4 linked regions of the Saccharomyces cerevisiae S288C genome follow. Changing the gene in region 2 together with the main gene of any one other region gives a genetic interaction. Each region holds a gene or a part of one and is shown on either strand. Other genes may lie near its edges.

Region 1 (4,052 bases), on a different chromosome or scaffold from region 2:
AGAAATGTTAGCAGATTCGCCTTTCTTATGGCAGTAATAATAAACGCTTCGTGGCCTCTCAATATAAGGGGGGGAGGGGAGTTGGGAAACCATAAACCAGGCGCCACGTCGTGAACAGACAGTAACGGAGATCTGGTGTGGTAAATCATTCTGATCTGCTTAAAGAGCTTGACTAACGTTTGAAAAATTTCTGTTTCGCCTGAGCTTAGGAAAGCCGTCTGGTCCGTCAAAACCGCTATAATATTGGGAGAGTTGGCATTAAGGATAAGAAACCTCAGTAGTTGAGTGGAGATATTGTCCAGCAGACATAATGAGCATATGGTCAACCTAGTTCTTGCAGGCAGGCTTTGGATGATGTCATTGAAGCGGTTTAAGCTTTCGTTATTATTGGGCACTTGCGAATCCATGACAAATGGGGAAAGAAGTGAGTAAAGAAAAACTAATGTAAAATGATTTCTGTCGCAGATGGGACAGCCACAATCTTAAATGTTGGCAAGGATATAGGAGCAAAACGCCAATATTGAGATGATTGTTTATTATAATGTTTACAAGGAAGGGCAAAGCATTGAGGAAAATTAGTCGGAATGAGGTCTCGCCGGGCTTCTACGGAAAGGGGCGAAAATTAATAGGGCACGGTGCAGAATATTAGGGCTTCAAATGTTCAGATTTTAAAGCCTTTTCTTCAAATACAATAATTAATTTTACACACTGTACCTTGCATATATAAGAGAAGAGAAATTTATAAACAGTATAGTTAGTTAGTTAAGAATGGAATTTGAATAAAATCATAAAGGAGATATTTACCGAATAAGTAACAAATAGAGAAGGGAGAGATTAAAAAATGAAAATTTACAGTACCGCCAACAAACACTTGAATAAGATTGAAAATTAGAGAGAAAAAAATTTAGAAATAATACAAAATACTAATAGTGATGGGACACAAAAATGAAGAAAGAAAATAGGTTTGATAGTATTGCTATCACCATTGACATTCTCGTTTGGATATTCACTTTTTACGTGGAGAGTTTGACCTTCTTCTTGTTTAGTTTAATAATGCCGGAGGGGCCCTTTGGTTGCACTAACTCGCCGTTTTCAACACATTTCTTGATAGCGCTATTGAACAGATAGTCAAAATTTGAGCTTGTTTTCAACTTGGAGGAGAAAGTGTCCTTGACATACTTCTTTAAAACGATACGGCTGGAGCCCTTACCGTCATTAAGTTGAGGCATGCTTTTAAGGATCATTTCCTTGTAGGTCAATGAAGAAGGCGAAGAGGCCTTCTTGGCGGTAACAGTAGGCGATTTTTTTTTCACTACTTTCTTTGGCGCTAGCTTCGTGGATGCGGCTTTCGCTTTTGATGCGGTTGCACTCACAGAAGTGGCGGCTTGCTTGGGTTTTGGACTGACCTCTTTTTCTTTCTTTACTTCTGGAGATTTCTTCTTGGCCAGTTTCACAGCACCAGCGGGTCCCTTTGGCTGTTCAAAATCGCCGGCCTCCACACCCTTCTTTATGGCATTGTTGAAGTACAAATCAAAGTTGCTTGCGGATCCGACGATCGGGTAGTTTTCCTTGATAAACTTCTTGAGTGCCGGACGACTGGATCCCTTACGTTCCTTCAAAGCCGTGAGCCCTTCAATGATCAACTCCCTGTAACTCTTGGAGGAAGCTTCCTCCTTTTTTGCCGTGGTTTTCTTGATAGCGGCCTTGGAAGTTGATTTCTCCTTGCCTTTGCTGGTTGCAGGCTTCTTGCCCTTACTTGTGGTCTTGGTAGTGGATTTCTTGGGTGCCATGTTGCTTTAGTTGTATTATAATTGCTTCCCTCGCTGCCAAGCATTATCAGGTGCCCATAAATAACAACTCCCCAAATCTATAGTTGCTCCTCCTCTTTAAATAAAGGCAGATAAACAAAAAACTTTGACCGCCCGCTTTTCCACACAAAAAACAAACAACAGCAGAAAACGCGACGCGAAAATGAAAAGCCAAAGAGAACAAACAAAAATCATCCATCAAACCTGTTATTGTGCAGAATAGCTTTTACCTAGACGCAAGTCCCTAGGAGGGGGCATTTTTGACACAGAATAGCATTTCATCAAAGCAAACAGCAACTTCTTGGAGATTTGTATTGCTTGGCATGTCAAAATCTAGCGGTCACATCAGTAGGGTAACAAAATAGCACGTCAGGGTTAAGGCGGCCTACTGCTTAGGGTACGTGGTAAGTGATGTAAAATGTGAGAAGGAGAAACTAGAAAAAAATTTTCCTTTCTTTTTCCTAGCGATGAGATGAGATGAAATTTTTCGAACAAATGATTTTTGGCACAGTTTACATATCAGTTATATTGGCTGTCGTCACAGGAACTACAAGTACAAACCAGAACCATTTTAGCTGATCACCAGAATGACGCAATCCCTAGGTATCGAACAGTATAAACTGTCAGTCGTATCTGGTGGGAAACCCGCTTTGAATAATCTCAGTTCAGTAACCGGCAATAAGAATATCGCCCGCCTATCACAAGACCAACGAAACTATATTATACCCTTTAACAATCAGATCAAGGTGTATTCTGTGGAAACTAGACAATGTGTTAAGACTCTAAAGTTTGCAAATAACTCCTTGTTATCCGGAATATTTCTGCAAGAAGAAGAGAATAATGAATCGATTGTAAAGATTCTGCTGGGTGATATAACCGTTCCGCAACAAGAAGACGCTCATCTGATTACCGTATTCACCAATAATGGTCATGTAATTGTTTTAAATTATAAGGGGAAGCTGGTCGAGTCCCCTAAGCATTTCAAAATCTCTTTGGCAGATGAAAAGCTTGCAAATGTTTTCCATAGCGAGGGCAACTATAGAATTTTGACAACGTTCAAGGACCCTAGTCAAAAGGCACATAACTCTTTGCAATCGTACAGGTTATATGCATTAACCTTTGACGATGCTAAAAAGCAATTTGAAGTGGCTCATCAGGCAGAATGGCACAACGTTATCTTGTCAAATATTTCTTCCAATGGTAAACTGCTAGCGCATATGTGCAAAGACGTCTCAACAAAAGATCACGAACACAAATCCATCTCAGTTGTTTCGCTTTTTGATGATTCTGTAAATTTAAGCTTTCCCCTCGGTTCCATCCTTTCTTCACAGACTCAATCCCTATCCTATAACACAAGGTACGTTTCTAGCATGGCCATAGACAATATGGGTCAACAACTGGCTGTTGGATTTGCCTCCGGAGTTATAAGTATCGTAAGCCTGGCCGATCTACAAATAAGACTGCTCAAATGGCATATAGACTCTGTGCTGTCACTCTCATTCTCTCACGATGGATCCTATTTGCTATCTGGTGGTTGGGAAAAAGTTATGAGTTTATGGCAATTGGAAACAAACTCTCAACAATTCCTGCCTCGTTTGAACGGTATTATAATCGACTGTCAGGTATTGGGACCTCAAGGGAACTACTACTCTTTAATCCTACAAATGACTGAAAACAATTCAAATTCTGACTACCAATTTTTACTTTTGAATGCTTCTGATTTGACCTCCAAATTGTCGATTAACGGGCCATTACCGGTGTTCAATAGCACCATAAAACACATTCAGCAACCAATCTCGGCCATGAATACCAAGAACTCCAACTCAATTACCTCTCTCAATCACTCTAAGAAGAAACAATCTAGAAAACTAATTAAATCGAGAAGACAAGATTTCACCACTAATGTAGAAATAAACCCTATTAACAAGAACTTGTATTTCCCACACATTTCTGCTGTTCAAATTTTTGACTTCTATAAAAATGAGCAAGTTAACTATCAGTATTTAACATCAGGTGTCAACAATTCTATGGGTAAAGTTAGATTTGAACTGAATTTACAAGACCCAATAATAACTGATTTGAAGTTCACCAAAGATGGGCAATGGATGATTACATACGAAATTGAGTATCCGCCAAATGACCTCTTATCTTCCAAGGACTTAACTCATATCTTGAAATTTTGGACCAAAAACGATAATGAGACAAATTGGAATTTGAAAACGAAAGTAATAAATCCACACGGGA
Region 2 (5,288 bases):
GCATCATTCTTCATCATCTGTGACAACCAATAAATTCAATCACATTGATCAGTCGGAGATATCAAGGACTACATCCAGATCTGATACTCCATTGAGAGATGAAGACGGCCTGGATTTTTGGGAAACGTTAAGATCCTTGGCTACTACGAATCCAAATCCTCCAGTTGAAAAGTCAGCTGAAAATGATGGTGCCAAGCCTCAAGTGGTACATCAAGGGATTGGCTCACATACAGAAGATAGCAGCCTAGGTTCCCATAGCGGAGGATACGATTTTTTTAACGAACTGTTGGATAAAAAGGCAGATACACTGCATAATGAGGCTAAGAAGACGAGCGAGCATGATATGACGTCAGGAGGTTCTACCGATAATGGGTCAGTCCTGCCACTGAATCCTAGTTGAGAAGGCAAGGCCGAAAAAAAACACAAATCTTTCAATTGTTTAACATATTAGTTTTGTAATAAGCATAAGTGTATATTATACATAGCACAAGATGGATAATATTCTCTGAAAAAAACGTGTAGTTTCATGACTCGCATTTTTTTTTTTTTTTCTTTCATGTTGATTAACATACTTGAATTCTGTATTTAAGCTGTATAAAAAGTTGTTCTATTTCATATACGGCGATTTTGCATAATTAAGAACTTTGCCTTGTACACTATTTTACTAGGGTATTCTTCCAAGATTTCTCTTCTTATTTTTTCCCTTTATAAGTCATTGTAGCAACATAATTTCCTGGAAATTTTAAGGGAATATATTTCTTTCCGCCCACAAACACAAAGGGCGTTTAGTAAATTATGCGGCGATGTATAAAAGAGAAAGCAGGCAAAAAGAAAATGAAAAATGAGACTATGAACTTTAAGAATTATGTCTTGACTAATTTTTTAAAACCCATCATCCATGAAGAGTTCTGTTTGTATTGTTTACGTTTGATGTTTGAAGTGAATTTAATAGAATTGTTCCTCTTTTTTTCTTCTTTTTTTAACTATAATATAATGTTTAGTATATCAACAGTACTATTTAGGCCTTAGACTTTCTATGAACTCTCTCTTACTCTGTGAGTAGTTGGTAAATTCGTTTTCGTATTGATCTTCCTCAGCAATTTCCCCGATATTGCCCACATCATAGTTATTCTGTAATTTGTATAAATCCTTATCTTTATCTGTTATTGCAGACCTGCTATCCTTTACCGAGTGGTCAGCATCCATTCCTTCGTTATCTTTATCAAAAGTGTTTGGTAACTGTGATTGAGCCGCACTTTTGGGTGTTGCAAACACATCCTCTAGGGCATCGCGCTTATTTACCGATGTTATAGAGGAATTCCTTGTATGGAAGGACGCGTTTGAAATGTTACCATTTAAAAACGAGGATGAAGCTCTCCTTGGGTAATACGAACCAAAGTCCTGATTCTGCAAATTTCTTATCAGATTTTCATTACTAGATTGGCGAGTATTATGTTTAAGTTCTATCATCGAAGCTTTGTTTTGGTCATTGCTAGTATTAGTATCACTGGAAGGATCTGCGAAAAAGTTTGGTCCTTCATCAGAAATAACAGGGACCATCTGATCATAAACGCTGATCTGTCTCTTTGTTATATGCCGTTGGGAAGATGATAAGGAAACATTGGAGCTGTTATTTATACTTGGTAAATCCACAACGGACTTCTGCCTGGCATTATTGCCGTAGTTATTATTTCGTACTTGAAGTAAATTTATTTTCCTACGGTATGCTGGCACATAGTATTTACTATTCTTTTTCCCTAACGGTTTCTCTTGATCTCGCGATTTTCCATCTTTTTCTTCTGGATGAGCAGATCCTTCCGATGAACCAGAAGTGTGATCAGGATTTTTTAGCTCGGAGCTGGCTAGTGCTGCTTCATCTTTACTGTCTCTTAAGGGTCCAAAATTGTCAAAGGACACGAAACCACTTTCATCATAAATAGCCCTTTCCAATTCTCTATCGTCTTGTTCCTCCCTCTTGTATCTTTTTTGTAGGTTAAACCAGAAACATACTGCTATTATAATACCTACACCGACGGGTATACCCACCGCACAACCCACCGCAACTGATGTGCTGGCAGTCATCTCTTTTACTTCTTACTACGATGAGCTCCCAAAAAAAAAATATATCCCTGATAAATAACACAAAACTAAGAAGCCGGACCTAGGTGAAGAGTAAAATAAGGACTCGAAATTTTGTCTAATACTCAATAACTCAGTACAAAAACTGCCTCACAGTATAAAATATCCAACTTAGAGATATTCGTTTTAATTGTCCCGAGCAGGCAAACGATAACTGATCCTTAGTCACAATAATAAGTCTATGCTTTCTGTTGAAAAAGAACAAATAGCGAGCGAGTCAGCAAGCAGAATCTAAAGAGGCTTGCAACGAATGGTAGGCAAAGAATTTCTAACCCGAAACCTCAAGCGAATGGTGGATTCCTTACTTCCAATCTTCTAAAAGTCTTTAACTCTGATTTCGAGGATCAGTACTTTTTCTATGGTTTATTAATATCGGCCTCGAAAAGTTTGTCGCGAGAATTTGGGCACATGTGACCCGGAATGTATATTGAGTAATATAAGAATGAGAACAATAATGTCAATAATCACACGTCGTTATAAGCAGCTGAAAAATTATAAGATAATATCAAAAAAAATGCTACAGATCAACTCCAGGCTTGCAGTTATTGATGGATGGCTGGTAGACACTGTGAAGCGAAAACCAATAAATTTTCGGAGTCCTGAAGTAAGATTACTGTTACCCAATGACGATGACTACAAAAAGCTATCACAACAAAACTTGGTGGACTGGACGCGATTAAAGAAGGATTCTAATTCGGTGCTCGTTGGAGTGAAATCTATGGAACTATTTAAACACATAAAGCTAGTTTTGCGAGAGTTTTTCTTGTTAGAAGATGGAAGAATAATTCTGAAGAGGATCAGAAGCAAATTACGTTACAAAGTTGTCAAGAAATTAACTTGTAAATGCTGCAGGTTATATTTACCAAAATGGGGCACCGTGTACATACATCCGATGCTAAAAGATAAAGAAAAGCCCTTAGCGGGGGTATGTGAATTTTCATTGGATGTAAACCCTGATCGGGAGTATCCCCTTATTGAGATCAATGTTAGTCATCAATACATTATAATTGAGGGCTTCCTTCTATACTTAAATGAAAGGAGGCTCTATAGGTGGAACGATAACAATTTGAGGAGTCAGGTTGGCTTAACAAAATGGGCCCATTTAAGAAAAACTTACAATCCGGTAAGCCTTGACATACTTTATAGTTTGAATTCAAATTTTTATTTTGTAAAGGATGATCTGCTATTTCAATTATTAGGAAAGAGGGTATTTGTTAAATTTTGTAAAGTAATGGAAAATGGAAAATGCGGTAAGGCTCCACTGTGGTATCGTGTGAAGAGAACGACAACTGCCAAAGCAACACATATTGCATATGCCATATCAAATTCAACAGCCCCAGATTCATTCAAAAGTAAAAATAACGATTATAGGTTTATTGTCAGGGAAAAGCCAATTGTGGAGAATACTATCTCCAACCTGGATTATTCAGACATAAAAAAACAGCAGTTTACTGAAGCAGAGGTTGTAAAAAGAAAGATCTCAGCAGATATTTCTCAAATAGAGAATGTGCATACGCAATTTAATAGTCAAAAGGAAAAAAATAATATCAGGGTGAATAAGGTTTCTAGCGAGGTCCTAGATCAAATTTCGAAATTTCCTGTGTCCAGAGTCACCTTACTGTTGATGTCTGCTGGTCAAGATAAAAATTATATTGAACTTGTTGAAGAATTGGCAAGAAGGTTGGAAAAAATATGCATAGAAAAAACCACACAATCTTTAGAAGAGATAAGGGATACTTTTCAGGCGAATCCTGAGATGCAGGCTAGCTTTGATAAGGAATATTACCAGAGCATTGAAGAATATAAAATTACACTCGAACTTATTAAGGAAGACCTTTTGATTACTCTGATAAAACAAATGGAAAATATGTGGGCAGCTGAAAAAAAGTTTAGTACAGAGGAGGAGTATGTTTCGCCGAGGTTTTTAGTAGCAGATGGATTTCTAATCGACCTAGCAGAGGAAAAACCGATTAACCCAAAGGATCCGCGCTTACTGACACTGCTAAAAGATCATCAGCGTGCCATGATTGACCAAATGAATTTAGTTAAGTGGAATGACTTCAAAAAATATCAAGATCCTATCCCGCTGAAAGCCAAAACCTTATTTAAATTTTGTAAACAAATAAAGAAAAAATTCCTACGAGGTGCGGACTTCAAGTTACATACATTACCTACAGAAGCAAATTTAAAGTATGAGCCGGAGCGGATGACAGTTTTGTGTTCCTGTGTCCCTATTCTTTTGGATGACCAAACTGTCCAATATCTGTATGATGACAGCATTATTCCTGAATTTGAAGCAACATCTTCATATGCAACAAAGCAGTCAAAGTGTGGGCGGAAAATGTCTTTGCAAATGGAGCCTGACCTCCTTTTTCAAGAGGCCATTAGACGGATGCGACATTTAACTGCTTATGACGTTTTGAGAAGAAACTATATTGCGGCATTTGAGGAGCTATATATGGGAAACTGTAACGATTAAATAGTTGGTAAGATTATCAGTTATGGATACCAACATATAAGCGGGTGATGTCTCATTTCAATGAGGTCAGATAACTGGTACAGTTTCGCCTTTAATACACTTGTTTGACAGAAACTTGTTTTTAATTGCTTGATTAGCTAAGTAACTCGAGCCGTACTGTAGTACCGTTAAATATATATTATGTAGGACTTAGTAGAATATACTAATAATAGATACTGCAATTGATGATCCCAATTACTGTTTTATTGACTAACTTTCACTGAAATGTTTTCATTCTCTGATTTTATATTTAGTTGGCGAACTAGCTCATCCTAATTATAATTAAACTTATATATAGCATAAACCGACAATAATGCGTGGGTGGTCCTCCATGCCGAATTTGTGAACTGAATTATTATCTAAGCACTGGATCGATCACCTTAAGATGATATATTATTTATAACTAAAACGCAGCAGCATTACACTCCAGAGTAACTCCTGAATTTCGTCATGGCATGTACTTATACTATATAACCAACAAAGGATGACTGAATAAGAACCAAATACTTTTCAAGAGATAAGATACGCGTTGCCATTGTTCGCAAGGCAGATCAAGAAGCTTCCTAGGCCTGTGAAAAAAGGAGGAAAAAAGAAATGAATTTTCTAGCTGTATTTAGATTGGATTTGAGGT
Region 3 (4,077 bases), on a different chromosome or scaffold from region 2:
TTTTGGCGTGTAAATCTCTTATTGATATCGATCTGTGTACTTTAGATCTTGGTATCGATGAAGCTGTCGAAGAGGAGGATGTATTACGGTGAGCGGAATTGATCTTGTTCAAAGAATTCGTAGTGGGCATTAGAAAGTTTGGTTTGTGCATAAATGGCTTGGGCTTTGACAATGGTGTGTTCTTTATTGAATTAATGTTAGAATTTGCTTGCATAGATCTCGCTCTAGCCACTATGTCATTACCATTAACCAATGAGTTCCGTAATTTCAATCTTCGTATTCTTCTTGTGATATCGTTTACCACTGGTGTAGTGTATGGAATTGAGCGGGACGGTCTCGACCTTTTCATCGAATCCGATCGATCCTGTGGGATTGCATGTTGTGACTTTCTCTTGGGCGTATGTAAAAGGGTATAATGTGTGTCTAGCGACTCCATCTGGCCAAATTGAGAGTCGTGCTTTGCTTGGAAGAACTCATTAATATTATACGAGCCCGATTTTGGTTCATTGTTCTTGTCGCCGTTGTATTGTTGTTCGGATTGATCTTTTAAAAATTCAAATTTTGAGCTAGCTCTAGAATCCAGTTCACTTAATACAGAATTTCCTAATCTTTTGGAAACGCCAATAGTCTCGATGATATTGCTATTGTTATTTGAATGAAAGTCTATACTCATATGCGGCGGCGTGAAACCATTAATTTGTGAAGTGGTGTCTTTTTCGTTATGCTCTTCTTGGAGTTTATCATTCATCCATGAAGATAATATGTGTTCTAGAGCTGTAATTGCATGTTTATTGTTTATTTGTTTATACCATTGCCTAGAAACTTACGATTTTTTCATGTTATTTTCCCCTTCCCTCTCTGTGCCTCTAGCCGGCGATGCGCGAAATGTTTAAAGCAAGAATTTCGATAGTAATAAAGAAAATACAACGGCTTTATTGAGTATTTATAAAACGTTTTTTTTTAATTCAAAATACATATACATGAATAAATATATACATATTGAATCATTTTTTTCCCTTTAATAAAAATACAGTTTAAACTAGTAATGATGCAACATTATTCGTTAAGATGATAGTTTGTTTTGTCTGTGTGGGACGTGCGCACGCACACGTATATACTACGACTGCTCCTCTTTGTTATCATGATTCTCTTGAGGTTCTTCCTTCTCTTCCAAGAAAGAAGCAGAATCAGAGCGTTCAGTAACAACAGTGGCATCTCCTTCGGCAGCTTCCAATTTTCTCTTGTAGTTTTCACGTTTCTCAATTTCAGTATTCAGGTTCTTCAAAAGCATGGACTCAGCAAGTTTGACATTCTTAGGAAATTTACTTGTGATTATGAATTTTCTAAAATTTTCGTCTTTATCATCGTCATCCTTCCTTTCCACGACAATATTGGTTTTTGTGAAAGTTTTCAAATTCTTAATTCTGTTCATTCCACGGCCAATAATGGCGCCTACATACAGTTCTGGAATCTTCAATTCGATCCTAGTGTTAGATGAGGTAGAAGGGGAAGTTGGCTCACCGGAGGACTTTTTCAGATGAGGGAAATAAGATCTTTCTGTGCTGAATCTGACGTCAACGTCACTCAAGATGATCTCGCTAATTTCGATAAGTACATTGGTGATGGATCCTGGGAAACCCTGGATCTCGATAATTCTCTCGTCGCTAGCAGGTAAGAAGTCCTTGGAAGCCACGATCTTAACGCCGTGCTTATTGATCAGGGACTTGATGGTGGCGCCTGCTTTCCCGATAATCGATGAGATATGGGAATTGGCCACAATGAGCCTCACATAACCGATGTCCTCCAGTTGCTGCAGATCTCTGATCTCGTCCTTTGAGGGAGCTGGTAAAATATGGTTCAAAAAGTGGAAGTAGTAGTGCTCTTCCGCTTCGCCCTCAGCTGCGTCCTCATTTTCGGGATTCCGTTTGTTAAGCACGTCAACAATATCACCAATGGCATTGGCCACATTGATTACGTTCCCAGCACAGGACAGGATCCTGTCAGAGCAACCGGGCACCTTTTCAGAAATACCGATCTTGACGGCGTTTGCAGCTCTTATGCGTGAGATGGTGGAGCCCTTAGTGCCAATGATCTTGGCAGCCTCTTTCAATGACAGCAAAAGCCTGTGATTGATGGTGGGTTGAGCGGTGGTGCCAACAACGGGGGCGCCGCCAGTGGCGGCGCTGCCGGCATCACTGGAGCCGCCGTTGGTATTGTTTGTGGGAATTGCAACGGGAGTAGCAGCTTCGAAGAACTGTGACATGGCTGGTATATATACTAATGCTGTCTCTAAGTTACCCGATAAGTTGATGCTTTGTTGTACAGGGGACGCGCGATAGGAGTGGGGAGCAATATGCTTTTACTTCGTATGCCAAGTAGTTATATATGCTCGGGTACTTATGCTCCAGATTATAGTCTTGTTTGTTGTTTGGCTGAGCGGCCGGACACACAGAAAAAAAACAAAAGGGCTTTCGTTAAAAGGGATAGGGTAATGTCTAGACTTAGCATAGGGCTAAAACAGAAATAGTAGGGTCTATACCGTTTTTGAAAACAAGTTGTGTAGGGTGAGACTTTTTCTTTTTCCTTTGAGTTTTTCTTTTTCTTTTTACGATTTGTCAGAAATTAGTCGGACGCTCTTGTGGGGTGAGCGCCAGCGCCGCTATAGTATATATAAAGAAGTTGCTGTGCTGGCGTGGACAATAATTGAGTCATTACAAAAAGTGGCGTACATAAAACTACAACAAACCTACAGGATGACCATAGATAACTACGACAACAGTAAACAGGATAGCAGCAAATACGAGGTTAGTGGTACGGGTGATGGCAGGAACGGCGATGGCGGCTTGCCTCTAGTACAATGTGTCGCAAGAGCTCGTATCCCAACCACACAGGGTCCGGATATCTTTTTACATCTTTACAGTAACAACAGGGACAACAAGGAACATCTAGCCATTGTGTTTGGTGAAGACATACGGTCGCGCTCGCTATTCCGTAGAAGACAGTGCGAGACGCAACAAGATAGAATGATCAGGGGCGCTTATATTGGCAAACTGTATCCCGGCAGAACTGTGGCAGACGAAGACGATAGACTCGGATTAGCTCTGGAGTTTGATGATAGTACAGGTGAGTTATTAGCTTCCAAAGCCACTACATGGGACGCCCATAACGACACGCTGGTACGGATCCATTCTGAATGTTACACCGGTGAAAACGCATGGAGCGCCCGTTGTGATTGTGGTGAACAATTCGATAGGGCCGGTAGGCTTATCGCTTGCGACCACGAACCCACAAGCAACATCAAAGGTGGAAACGGCCATGGTGTTATCGTGTATCTAAGACAAGAGGGTCGTGGCATCGGGTTAGGTGAGAAACTCAAGGCCTACAACCTGCAAGACTTAGGTGCTGACACAGTGCAGGCCAACTTAATGCTGAAACATCCCGTGGATGCTAGGGACTTCTCGCTGGGTAAGGCTATTTTGCTGGATCTTGGCATCGGTAATGTCAGGCTGCTGACAAATAACCCGGAAAAGATAAAACAGGTAGATCATGCGCCTTACCTTAAGTGCGTTGAACGAGTGCCTATGGTACCCATACACTGGACAAACTCCAGTGAAGGCATAGACTCCAAGGAGATAGAAGGTTATCTCAGGACCAAGATAGAAAGAATGGGTCATTTACTAACGGAGCCTCTGAAACTTCATACAAACCCTCAACCTACTGAGACAAGTGAAGCCCAAAACCAAAACCGTATGAACTCTGCGTTGTCATCAACATCGACGCTGGCAATATAAACACAAGTGTAGCATAATTATTAGTACATATAGTGCTTTTTTTGTAATGAAACGAAAATACCATGTTATTTTAATGCGTTACCCCGTCGGCGCGTATTGGCGCATTAACATCTTTATAGAAAATCAAATTATTTACTTATTTATTCTAAAACGCTAAACATCTATTTATTTACATTTGAGGTTGAAACTTCCCTTCATCCGATTGACAGGCATATTTAGCGGTAATTATTAGGGTTTTTGGAGAGACCTTGTATTCTTCAGAAATAATGTCGTCCTTCAACAATGA
Region 4 (5,246 bases), on a different chromosome or scaffold from region 2:
TTTACGTAATGTGTTAACCAATGAAGTATCGAATTTGAGAAGACTGGATATTGAATACGTGGAAGAAAAAAATGGTGAGGAAAATGAGCATATCAAGGGACAACAAAACTACAAAGAAGATGTTCTTATTAAGCACGACCATACGAATACTCATATTTGAGCTTCCCACAGTAATAATAACAAGTGAAGAAGAGAGGGAAATGTCGAAAATACCCGAAACGCATTTCACAATTACAAAAAGGCCAAAAAAAAAAAGGAAAGACAATACGCTTATATTTGTCACGTATACCTACTATTTGATTTATGTACGTTTTATATACAAATTGCATTTACTATTTATAAAATAAATCATTAACTATAATACTCTAACTGAATGTTTTAGGATCTTCTCTATTAAAAATATACGTGGAAAACGACTATGGCTGCCCGAGAGACTAAAAAGGAAAGAGCGAGGGATATAACAATAGCAGTCATTACTGGTGATAATAATGACATAAAAGAATTACTGAAGGAGGCAAAGTATATACTGTCAAGGGTATAATGGTGAAAGTAACTGCAGCTTGTATCATAATTGGTGATGAAGTGCTGAATGGAAAAGTAGTTGATACAAATTCCACTTTTTTTGCGAAGTATTGCTTTGATCATGGAATTCAATTAAAAGAAATTGCAACTATAGGGGATGATGAAACCCAGATCGTAGATACTGTGAGAAGATTAGTCAAAAATTATGATTTTATCATCAGTACAGGTGGAATCGGCCCCACTCATGACGACATCACTTACGAATGTATGGCGAAAAGCTTTAATTTGCCTTGTGAACTAGATGAAGAATGCAAAGAACGAATGAGGCATAAATCTGACCCTGAAGCAAGGCTTGATGCAGATGCTCTAAAGGCGCATTACCAAATGGCAACCATGCCAAAAGGCACAAACGTCAAAAATTATTATGTGTGTGATGACTTGTGGGTACCTATTTGTTCTATATCTCACAAAATGTATATACTACCCGGTATCCCTCAACTATTTGCAAGGATGCTGAAAGCGTTCACTCCCACGTTGAAAAAAATATATAATTTGGACAAGGATCCACGTGAGTATGTTCGTTATTTTGTCAGAACACACCTAACTGAGTCTCAAATTTCTAAAGAGCTAAAGTTGATTCAGGATGAATCAACAAAAGTTTCAGAAGCCATTAAAATAGGCTCATACCCACATTTTGGTATGGGATTCAATACAGTTAGTATTTTGGGTGAAAAGAAAGACGATTCATATCTGAAGAGTATTGTCAATAGAGTTGTTAATAACCTCGAGGGAGAAGTAATTTCTTCTGAACTTGAAAACAAGTTCTCGAACCAGGAGAGCTGAATACCCGAGTATTTAGAACTATGTATAGATATAGATTTTTTTTTTGGGAGCAAAGTCATCTCAGTCATCGCCGGTAGTTGCGCTTTCTTCTCAACAAAAAAGTACACTGCTCGTGGTAGAAAGGTACCTTGAAAAATTAAAGATCACATTGCTACTGTTAGAGCTTCAATCGCTAAAGTAAACATTTGAAAAATGCATATCCGAAAGGACCAAACCAGCAAAAGGTATATAATTCATTCAATAGATACAACTGCTCCATGAAAGGAAAAACCTTCATTTACGGTCGCGTTTTTTTTCGTGATATAAAAAAGGTAAAAAAAACGCGTCGCGTTAGAAAAAAGGTGTGTGTGAAGAGAAAGACCCATTGAATGGAGAGTTCGGTTCTTGGGAATTGCACTGAGCCGTGGTGAGTTTGTTGCTTTACTACATCTCTTCTTTTATAAGCAACGCTTAAGCTGAACCTAGTCAACACACATAACTGAAGTCAATTTGACCAGGTGCAACTGAAACCTGGATTGGAATTGGTATTCACTTGAACAAAAGACTCTGGTAAAATGTCTGAACTCTCTCAAATGACATTGAAGATCCTTTACACATTGGATAATGGATCCAATGGTAGTTATTTAGCCCGCTCAAGGGCTCCAAAACAGGTAAGAGTTGCTAATATTCCTAGTCCATTCCCGACAGATTCGAATGAGCAAACGGAGTTGCGAATTGGCGCCATCCATTTGAAGACTATACTGCATGAAATATACTTAAATTCACCTGAAGTGTTAGACCATGACACTTTAAAAGATGGATATGATTATAACTTGTATTATCGTGACATATGTGAAGTGGATGAGCCATTAGTAAGCCTTGGTCTTCTTTCCGGGCTTCGAAAAAAGTTTCATAAGAATAGCCCCTACCAGTATACAGAAAACAATATTGGTGAAGAAGAAAGTGAAGAGAGAGATGAGGTAACTGAAGAAGAGTATGAAGATGAATCTTTTATAGTTACTGGAAGGGTATGCTCGAATGTTTCCGCTTTACTACGAAGATCATATAGCAACATCTCGAATAAAAAGGGAAGGGTCGTAAACAACCAAATTCCGGAAGAAACTTTGGAGGTTAAACTAAGATTCACAAAAGTTATAACCAATTTAAGGACGTCTGGTAACAATACTACAAATTCTCGGATATCGTGTCTTCAAATGCCGTCTTCTTTACCATCAGCAACACTTCCGTTTACCCCAAAATCGCAATCTCTTTTCAAGACAAACCAAATAAAAAATTCAAGGAATGCAAGGACCACGATAACAATAAATAATACTAATAGCGGGACTGTGGGAAGAAGACAGACGAATCCTATGCCTGCTCCAAAAGCTGTCAGAACTCAGTCTTTACCCATCTGGAATCTTAAACCAAATATAGCGAATACTGGTTTCCCAAGAAATTCAATTGCGCACAAAATCTACTTAGCAGATAGAAAAACAGAAGCCAATCAACAAAACAACCAGCATCAAAACATAGCTTACGAAATAAATACTTTGCAAAACGATAATACTATTCAGAGGACCAAGATCGATGATTCGGTAAGCAAGAGGTTCGATTTTATGCTCAACAAAAGAAAGTCTACGAAAAAAGTGTCACCTGGTATAGCAACGATAGCAAAAAAACCAGCTTCAATAAACATAAATCCAAAGCAACCGCCGAAGACTAGTGGTGAAAAAAAAGCAAATGATAAGCAAACGATTGTCAAAGTTAAGAATTCGAATTCCAAAAATTCGGCTAAGTCTACACAAGCAGGATGTAGGCGATCATCAGTGATAGAACATTTAAATGATCATGACGATTCAATTTTAAGTGACATTCTATCGGAACCAGGCATTGAAGGGCAGAAATTGCAGCAAAAACAAAAGGGGCGTAAGATATCTTTAACTAGTGAAAATGATAAAGAAAATATTCCACCCCAAAGCATAACTAGTAAAGAGAACAAGCTTGAAGGTGACTTGGATTTTAACGCTGAGTTCCCCATGAGTGACTTTTCGGATGTAGTATTTAAAGATGAGATGGGATGGTTTTCCAATTTCAATTGCAATTTTTTTGAATCACCAACTTCTGCAAGTGCATCACAACTCAATCAGCAAAATTTGAAGCCTTCTATAACACTCAACGATCCAAACACCTGTAACACCATTGCTCTCGAAAATGAAGATGTCAGTGAATTGGAAACAGCGCAAAATAATAAAATATCTTTGCCTAGCGATGTTGACAAAACCTCCCCAATAGACTCGTTGTCTATACCTTTAATTGAACTTACACATTCAAGCTCGACAACAAACATGCAGCGTATATCCATTAAAGAAGGATCGACACTAAATATAACAGATAGTAATAATGCCACCCCATGTGATAATGATATAAAAGATAGAAAGGCATCTGTAATAGATTCGGACAATACAAAACCTCAGGCAGGGCTTATAAATTTCTCTACTCCAGCTGACCAGCCAGCTTCTGATAATAATGTTACAGCTTCGAAAAAGCTTACTAGCATGCTGGAAACTCAGCAAAGTAAGAGATCTCATGAAGAAGTTTTGGATGAAGAGGAAGAGGAGGAAGCCCTCAAAAAGCAAAAGGCAATACCGTCTTCACCATGTGGGATGTTCAATTATCATCAACCCATGGAATTATCTGAGGACATAGTTGAAGAAGAGCAAGGACACAATATCGGCGATGATAATGAAAGCGATAAGACCAACGATTTATTCTCAACATTCATCCATTCAGGAATAAGAGTAAGTCAGGTAGTAACAAGTCCCATCGGTGAATTTCAGTCAATAAAACACTGAAAATATTACATGAACTTATTCCTAGCACAGCATGTATATATATATATATATATATATACTCAGATCATACATGTAGCACCTTATAGAGAACAAAAAGAAGTATTTAATTAGCATTTTCATGTCGTTAACATGTTATCGCGTTCTGCAGCCTTACGTATAAGGTCGCTGGCATTCAAAAACGAGCACATATACTCATTAAACTTCTCCCTATCATTAGCGGAAATTGTCTCCTTGAATATAGGATCCATTTCTACCTCCACTTCATGGGACGTGTATTGATGGGAGTTCCTTCGCGTGGTAGTAACCTTTGTCAAATCCAAGTGTAAAGGCATTTTATCATTAAAGGTGTAGGTGGAACGGCTTTTGGTTCTTTGTAAAATAAAGCCATTCCTGAAAGCGGCAGAAGTTTCGTATTCAGGCACTTCAAGGCTGATGCTAATTTTAGCGTCTAATGAACTTTGAGGATAGCGAATGAGAAAATCCTTGACCCGGACCTTTTTGATGTAAGTAAGTTTAAGTTCTTTGTTTCTAAGGTCTTCCGAACAACGCCATGAAGTTAATTTGCCAACTTTCGAGGCATTGTTGCAGTTATATATAGAATCTTTCGTATACTTTTGTACCTGTTTTACTACTCTTGGGGCACATTTACTTGGATTCTCCGATTTTGAGCGGAGTAGCTCCTGGAAACTCGAGAACATTTGCTCAGGAACGTTAGACACTAAGCGGCCATTTCTGTTTTGAACAATAAAGGGCTTGTTGTGTGGTGTCATCCTGCGATGTGTCCTTTTGTCTGTTATAACACCAAATTTCATTTCGATTTCAATGTGTGATATCGACGATTTATCAATACAAGCAAGATATTTCCATGCTAACTTACAAACATGTTTATGGAATTCTGTCGCACCTCTTGAATTGTTTCTTGTGGTTTTGTATAAAGCTCTAGTTGATGTTAATGGCTTAGTGGTTTCAGAGATATGCAAGCTTCTGAATTTCGAGGCAACATTAGCGTCAGCTTTCTTTGCGCCAACATTTTCATGAGAATTTCTACTA

Evidence for each region.
Region 1: of SIR1 (region 2) and HHO1, a mutation in one rescues a mutant of the other (synthetic rescue), as found in Saccharomyces cerevisiae (one study listed by BioGRID).
Region 3: of SIR1 (region 2) and HEK2, changing one suppresses a phenotype caused by changing the other (phenotypic suppression), as found in Saccharomyces cerevisiae (one study listed by BioGRID).
Region 4: of SIR1 (region 2) and SPT21, changing one enhances a phenotype caused by changing the other (phenotypic enhancement), as found in Saccharomyces cerevisiae (one study listed by BioGRID).

The regions. Positions count from the first base shown.
Region 1 is NC_001148.4:307,815-311,866, forward strand, and holds HHO1 (histone H1), read right to left. Parts: upstream 1,791-4,052; coding exon 1,014-1,790; downstream 1-1,013. Other genes in the region: TBF1 (Tbf1p), read right to left, coding at 1-407; NAN1 (Nan1p), read left to right, coding at 2,396-4,052.
Region 2 is NC_001143.9:637,887-643,174, forward strand, and holds SIR1 (Sir1p), read left to right. Parts: upstream 1-2,653; coding exon 2,654-4,618; downstream 4,619-5,288. Other genes in the region: BAS1 (Bas1p), read left to right, coding at 1-400; SKG1 (Skg1p), read right to left, coding at 1,015-2,082. UniProt on the Saccharomyces cerevisiae protein: Involved in the establishment, but not the maintenance, of heterochromatic silencing at the cryptic mating-type loci HMR and HML.
Region 3 is NC_001134.8:158,370-162,446, reverse strand, and holds HEK2 (Hek2p), read right to left. Parts: upstream 2,264-4,077; coding exon 1,118-2,263; downstream 1-1,117. Other genes in the region: SHE1 (She1p), read right to left, coding at 1-748; RIB1 (GTP cyclohydrolase II), read left to right, coding at 2,754-3,791; STU1 (Stu1p), read left to right, coding at 4,058-4,077. UniProt on the Saccharomyces cerevisiae protein: RNA-binding protein involved in the correct localization of transcripts in the cell. RNA localization is a widespread mechanism for achieving localized protein synthesis.
Region 4 is NC_001145.3:617,939-623,184, forward strand, and holds SPT21 (Spt21p), read left to right. Parts: upstream 1-1,919; coding exon 1,920-4,196; downstream 4,197-5,246. Other genes in the region: MMT1 (Mmt1p), read left to right, coding at 1-160; FPY1 (flavin adenine dinucleotide pyrophosphatase), read left to right, coding at 541-1,365; CTL1 (polynucleotide 5'-phosphatase), read right to left, coding at 4,313-5,246. UniProt on the Saccharomyces cerevisiae protein: Required for normal transcription at a number of loci in yeast.